Linked DNA regions of Styela clava. The protein of the gene in region 1 interacts with the protein of each later gene in a pairwise test. Links are inferred from orthologs where the notes say so. Each region holds a gene or a part of one and is shown on either strand. Other genes may lie near its edges.

Region 1 (3,936 bases):
CCCAGGACTGCTTCGTAGTTGATTACGCTTGCGTTCTATGCTCTCCATAGTTAACGTGTCTAGTTTGGTTTGTGATTGCATTTTTTTGAAATTTCGATTCAGACGTTTTAATTGTGTAAGGATACGCTGAACTTCCCATAAACGTTCATCTTTTTTTCTGAAATTTAAACAATAAATGATTTTATTGGTTTCTGTAAAAAAGCATATACAAAATCTGTAGCATATAAGCCAGTGCTTGACCAAGTCAAGTTATTTTTTTCAACCAGTAAAAAAGTCAGTTTTCAACAAAATATGAAGAAAAAAGATAGGCACACATTTCAACTGGGGATGGGAAGCTGCAAGAAACCAAAGCTTGGTATCAAGCAGCAACACTCAAGGATCTAATATAAAATAAGTTTAGTTTCAGAACTTCTGTTTTTGTTAGACATTGAGACTAATGGAATAGATGATAAAGAACATCAGATACAATTAATCAATTAGAATTAACACACATAAGGTTTATAATAATGAATAGTGTTATTTGATCACTGTATGTAAAGTATCCTTGCAAATCTTTTCTCAGCAGATTTTAGAGAGCACGGGACATTGATTCAAACAAATCCAATGTGGATTGCCGGTCCATCGTAAAATGTGTGCCAGGTTAGAGTTTGGCCATAATTTTATTCCGATTTTCCTTGTTTTAGTTCTATTATGAGTTCGAGGACTGTCTGTGTTAGCTCTCTTCCCATAGGTTTCAGTCCTTTCACACAACTTGATGTAAAATGAGCGAACAAAATTATTTACCCCCATATTGGTACACATACACTTCTGGAGCACTCTCTAGGGACTTTTTTATCAGCAAATTTTAGAGTTACATCGTTTCAAACAAGCCAAGTCTGTACAGTATGGATTGCCTACCCTATTTATCATATCCTGGATGGGACGTGATACTTACCATAATCTACAAGGAGACATTTTCTATGATCTGCCATAATTCAAAATTTTATGAGTATGGTAAACTTCATACCTAGTCGGTACTGCATGTACAAAATGTATTCAGAATGGAAACAAAGAAATATTACCTGTCTTTACAACCAGCTTGTAATTGTGAGTGAAGCCGATTTAAAACAAATTCTTGACGTTTTATTTCTTGAACAACTTCTATTTGATCTTTCGGTAATGGAGGCATAGTGGCCCAGTCTTGCCATCTCATTGGTCTGATTAATGGTTTGATTTCAACCCCTGTGAAGAGAAAAAGACAAATTGAATTTGAAAGTATTTGAAACGCTTAGGTATTGCAAGAATATATGGTACTTTTTCTGGTGTGATCATATGAAAACGTCTCATAAATATCAAATTGAAAGTTTCGTAAAAAATGCCCAGTGGAGCAGAACATACCTGCAAAAATCTGTTTCGCTTGAGTAAAGAATAAATTCAAAACTCTGTGACTGATGTGTAACGTCGGACTTAAAACGATCGAAATATTCTGTATCGTCATTTTGCTCTCCTTCTCGTGATCAATAATGTGACTGAAATGTACGATTAACCACGAAATCAAAACTTGGTTACATTCAGGGAGATTTTGAAGAATTGATTTGGTCGCTCGGATTTTATCTGAACCACTAGCAGCCTCTTCAAACTTCATGGAGTATTGGTCGGTCAAGACACGCTCTGGTAATTCTCGTAGATAATTTTTTAAAAGACTTGCAACTGTGTATGGGTCGTATTGATTCAAATCCGGAGAAATTTCTTGGTTGTAGGTTTTTATGAGTTCATCGACTTTTGCTTTTACTCCAGATATCCGATATATTCCTTCCGCTGTTAGACCTTTGTTCTCCAAATGGTCTATGCAGTCTCGTACCACAGCAGGTAAAAGGATGTTATCGTGGTAGCAAGTGCGCTGCACTGCCTCTTCTAGAGTTTTTTTGAATACCGGGTTGACAATCTCCTCGGATTCTTCTGGTAGGCTTTCAGGAATCTCATCGCTTGGGTTCGATAAAACTCGCTTTTTTGATTTATGTTTTTTCTGCGGATCTTTTTTGTCTTTAAACGATATTTGTATGTCTCTAGGTAAACTCGCTGACTTTTTCTTCGCATCGCGATGTTCTTTTGATTTTGGCGTCGAGGATGGTACATCAGAAGGAATGTTCAAAGAGTCCCCAGGTGTTTTCCCTTTTTTGCTAAGTTTCCCTTTAGAAAACGAAGCTTTTTTAAAGAGGCCTTTCGATGTTTTTGGTTTTCTAGATTGTCCTGATTTTGGAGTTCCAAAGCTTTTTGAAAATGGAGATTCTTCATCTGTCTCATTATCTGGTAAGAAATGATGATATCCTTTCTCTTTTTTCTTTTTACGATTGGTATCTTCACCAGACTCACCGGATTCAGTCATTTTGTAAACTCAACTTAATTAATCTAGTTTAACAAAATTTCGAATCTAAAGATTGAAAGGTGGACATTTATCAATTTCATAATTTGTACATAATTTCAGGTACAAATACAATACTATCAATTGACTAGTCCCAGAACTCGTAATAGGAAAATTGGAATAAAATTTTGGCCTAACCCTAACATGCTACACATACTACCTTATGTTCGGATGTCCACCACCTTGGTTCACAAACTTTGGGAGTACCAATCATTAACATTGAAACATGGTTTCCAACCAACAATACCAACTTGGTTTTGCAAAAAAAACTTTCCACAAACAATGAGAACAAAAATTTAAAATTTTGGAATGTACAAACATTCCCAGTAGAAACAAATATACCAAACCAGTCTTCTTAATCAATCGGAATACTATTCCAACATATTATCATGATTTTCAGAATAAACATATACAACTTTATTGTGAAAAATAATATTCCTTTTCTAACTATGTGGATATAAATTTGAATTTGGCGCAGATGTGTATGTACCAACATTGAGGTAACTAATTTTGTTCGCCTACTTTACATCAAGTTGTGTAAAGGGACTGAAACCTATGGGCAGGGAGTATATTCACTTGGCTAACATAGACAGTCCCCGAATTCGTCATAGGGCTAAAACAAGGAAAATCGGAATAAAATTGTGGCCTAAACTGGTACATACACTACGGGAGTACCTATAATTTTTGAGTATAAGTCATAAAAAAATTTGAATGCATAGACAGGCAATATGTAAAAATTTAATAAAATATAAAAACAACTTTGTTTCTAGATGGAATGGACAAAATGAAAACTAAGAAAAGAGGAAGTAATATCATTGAATATTTCCAATATTCCTAATTCACAAGCCAAGAAAAAAATCACCACAATATAATACAGTGAAAAACTTGTTGCACTGTGCTAAGTATTTGCAAACATTTGACAATACAATACAGTAAAGTGCTTACAATACAGAATAAGTGCTTTGTTTCTAGGTGAAATATGCAAAATGAAAACTAAGCAAAGAAGAAGTAATATCATTAAACAGTTTCAATATTCCGAATTCACAGGCTGACATAAAGTCACCACAATATATCACAGTAAAAACTCATTGCATTGCGTTAAGTATTTGCAAACATTTGACAATACAATACATTAAACTTATTTTCAAAATATTATAAATGAATAAGTGCTTTGTTTCTAGGTAAAACAAGCAAAATGAAAACTAAACAAAAAAAAAAGTATATCATTAATATTAAATAAATTAATATCCCCAATTTACAGGCCAAGAAAAAGTCACCACAATATACCACAGTGATAAACTTGGTGCATTTCGCTAAGTACAGTATTTGCAAATAAATTTGATAAAACAATACAGTAAACTTCATTTCAAAATATTATAATAGAATAAGTGCTTTAAGCTGGTATTGTTGTTAGAAGCAATATTCAGCAAAAGTTAAATAAAAAAATTACAGAAAAAACAAAATCTACAATTTTTCTTATTTTCTTGAAACAGCTTTTTTGGGCTGAGCCCTTGTTATCTTATATTTGCTATTTA
Region 2 (3,890 bases), on another chromosome or scaffold:
AAAACAATCCAAAAAGGCATACTAGCAGAGAAACTATTACAAATTGATCTAAAACAGTATTTTAGAATATTGAATGCAGTATAGATTGGGTCATGTTTGAGATAGAACTTCGCATAAATCATGTAATATAAAAATTCATTGAATTTGATATTGCAATATAATATATTAAAATTGCATGAACAAGGCAAAAAAATTTCAAATTTGAATAATTCAACCAATCATGGCATTCAAGTCGCAACATTTCCATTACAAGTATTCAAATATAACATAACAAAGGATCTTCCACCACGGGTCATGTAACATGGAAAAAATACCGTCATATCAGATATATATACTTCTGTGGAGATAAAAACCACCTCTAAAAGTAATGTTTCTAAAACATTCAACGCTATTTTCAAATCTGGACAGATTTTACATACTTAGCCCGGGAACTTCATTCACATTTTGAATCCCTTTATCACTGAGATCAACTTCTCGACATCTTGACTCTTTCGCTTCTTCAACAATTTTTTTCAACTTTGACATTGTCAATGATTTTCAAAAAATGTCATGTATCAATAATCTAAAGAGTATGCGAAAACACAATAAAACAACAATTAGCAGAAAATTTAATAAAATATAGAAACTCGACATATTCTTACAGGTCGAAAGAATTGTAAGATTCACCAAGTTGAACAAAGAAATCATATTTATACACAGACAATAAACCACAAGGTAATATTAATAATAGGAATAATATTTATTGTACACTAAACAGCGAAATCAAAAATATCAAGCCCAAGCTATTGCATAAAATGCACCTCCCAACTTCAGATAAAAACAATAACACATAAATCATGTACTTGGACAAATATTTTGAAAAGTGTTCGAAATATTTAAATGTCAGGCTATTACATAAATCTGAAGCACTGGTGAATATGGCTGTACATGATTTACATTAGAATGACATTATTTCCAGAAAGGAATTGTGTTGTGAGCTCATGAAATATGATAAGCTGCTCAGTTAAGTTAGAACATAGCAAATATCCTGGATACCGAGATATTAAGCAGTATCATACTAAATGTTCAAATCGGTCCCAAAGGATTCAATTAGACACAGAATAATTCGTTGTATGGAAGAATAATTTAAAGATATAGATAACCATAATATAATCAACTTTAGAATTCTAAGGTATGCTTCACACAGACAGCATTTTTTCACAGAAGCTTTAAAGGAGTATCACTGCTGAGTGCAGATTGATTGTCACACCAGTGTCTTTACCAGTGATATTTATTCATTTCAAGATGTTGAGCAAAAAGTTTGAGAATACACTACAATTTTTCTACAATATCATAGCCTCAATTAAGTCAAAAATTATCTACAGGAAGAACAAGATCAATCTGCAGGTTAATATGATATGAAGTATTAACAAATTATGAATTGAAATACAATTAAATAGAAAGCAGAGGTTATAGATAAAATTGTGGAATCATAAATTACAAGGATAAAAGCAGTCATTTCCACTTCTTCATCTACAGGCTTTTAATCATATGCTATGACATGTGATTGATTACTGGATAGCAATTAATTTACCTAATAGCAACAAACAATATGTAATTTCATAGTAAAGTCCTTGGACTTCCAAAATTTTTCAAACTATAATTAGTGCCATAAACAAAGGTCCTGCTTCTCCAAAAAAGTTAACATGTGACTATTCAAAGATGGTTTTTCTCTCATTTTTTGGAATATGAAAGTTTGGGCATGAAATAAATTGTCATGACTGCAACTTTGCTCAAACATTTTTGAAGACAATTTATGCTAAAAAATGGAATAGTAGCATTATTTTTAAATAGTTTGCACATAGACATAGTGTACTCAAACAGTTAAATACTAGCGAGTTATGGCAGAAAGATGAATATAGTCTCTGACATATATTGACAAAATTTTTCAAAAAAATTAAAAGACCAAAAAACACATTTAATGTGCAGCTTTACATTGATCAAGTACATAAATCTGTAAGTACGTGCAGTTGTAATTTTGCCACTGCAAGTCTTGAAATAAAATTATATAGAGAATTGTTTTCAACTACCATTCAGATGGTCTTAAGTTTCGTGATGCGATTATGACGACATAAGGAATCAAACAATTGTGCAGCATTTTTTGCATCGTCCAATACAGTCTTCAGATTCAGGACTATTGCTTGAAGTTTGTGCAGTCGCGACTTTGTTTTTCTCATCTTTGATCAATTTTAATAAATCGAAAAATACTTTGTCAACATTGCTTCTTGTCTTGGCCGATGTTTCGACATACTGAACTCCCATATTATCAGCAAATTGTTGTGCTTCACTTTGTGTGACTTGACGTTTGTCTTCTAAATCAGACTTATTACCAACAAGAATAAATGGAATATTGTTCGCTGTTACTGAATCAGCTCCTTTAACGCGCAATATTTGATCCCTGAATTCCTGGGTGTCATCAAAAGAGGTTTTTTCCGCAATTGAAAATACAACCAAAAAACCTTCTCCGCTTCGAAAATAATTATCTCTGATGGCTGCATAGTCTTCTTGTCCAGCTGTGTCTAAAATATCTATTTGAGCATCTTCACCATCCAAAATTACTTTTTTTCGATAACTGTCAGCTTTGGTTGGTTCATAATCTTCAACAAATTCGTCGTACATGAACTGGAGAGTAAGCGCAGATTTGCCAACTCCTCCACTTCCAACCATTATAACTTTGTGAAGTGCAGCTTGAGCATTTGATTTATTTTTGTTAGCTGCCATTTGTTAACATTCGTATAGTCTATCTATCACAAAATATAATTCTCTAGTAACACAGAGGCACAATACATCGACTCAAATTATTGCAACGAAAATAGCCGCACCCAAAAAATCAAAGACCTTCGATAAAAAGGGGGCGTGGAATCTAAGCCCGAAATCACAAGCCATGACGTTACGTCACATTCCGCAAGTGTCAGGTTGACATGCAGCGCCAAAACAATAATGTATGAATGCTTAAAGTCAAAAAAAGAGCATCAGTTGAATGACCGGGGCAGTTTCTTACACCATCGTGATCGACTGAGGACACTTCAATCCAGAATAGCTGAATAGAGGTTTGGTAGTGTCATAAATAAACCATATAAGACTCAAACTCCATCATCTGAACATATTAACATTGAGGTTTTCCAGCTGTAAGCTCTGAAGTTACAAACGTATTCCGCGTGACTGTGCTCTTGAGTTTGAAATTGTCTATTTGTTAAAAGCGCTAGTTCAGGGTTATTTATGAGTCAGCTGAAAAAATATAATAGACTACATCCTATTCCTTTCTTCATTTTTTATTTTTTCATAAAATTGAGTTGAATCAATTCTGTACATACAGACATAGACGAATGCCGGTACCGTACCCGTTGCCTATTTCGGCATTTGTTTTGATAGCAATAAGAAAATGATATCCCCCCTTTTTATGAAATATACATCTTATATAAAAATATAAGAGGTTCATATTTTAGCCACGGCCCACGGGTGCTGTTAAAGACAAACTAAACAGTTGTTCTGGTCTAAGACTCATAAGTATAAGTATATTTTGATTATAATATAAGTAGACTATACTTCTGCTTTTTATGGTGACAAATAACATACATTGATTCTCTCTGTGTACTAATATTACTATATATTTATTATATTTAATTATTTCAAGTAAATTCTGAGAAAATATTTTCGGATACGAATATGAAGGGAGGAATATGAAATATCGAATATGTTTTAAATTATCATCACGTTCATGTGAAAGATTGCATAAATCATTTGTCTATATCTTCTTCACGTTAATCATATCTAAAACGACATAAATACGAAAGGTAATTGTTTTTGCTGTTTACTAGCTTGGGATATCATACGTTTTGATCTACATGTCT

Evidence for each region.
Region 2: the proteins of ralA-binding protein 1-like (region 1) and ras-related protein O-RAL-like interact in a two-hybrid assay, tested with the Drosophila melanogaster proteins (6 studies listed by BioGRID). The link is inferred for Styela clava from reciprocal best matches to the Drosophila melanogaster genes Rlip and Rala.

What each region holds. Positions count from the first base shown.
Region 1 is NC_135264.1:15,712,729-15,716,664, forward strand, and holds the start of ralA-binding protein 1-like, read right to left. Parts: upstream 2,446-3,936; 5' UTR 2,366-2,445; coding exon 1,378-2,365; intron 1,222-1,377; coding exon 1,062-1,221; intron 158-1,061; coding exon 1-157. UniProt on the Drosophila melanogaster protein: Participates in receptor endocytosis during interphase, is also involved in mitotic processes when endocytosis is switched off.
Region 2 is NC_135257.1:11,152,252-11,156,141, reverse strand, and holds ras-related protein O-RAL-like, read right to left. Parts: upstream 2,890-3,890; 5' UTR 2,761-2,889; coding exon 2,119-2,760; 3' UTR 562-2,118; downstream 1-561. Other genes in the region: ras suppressor protein 1-like, read right to left, coding at 420-525.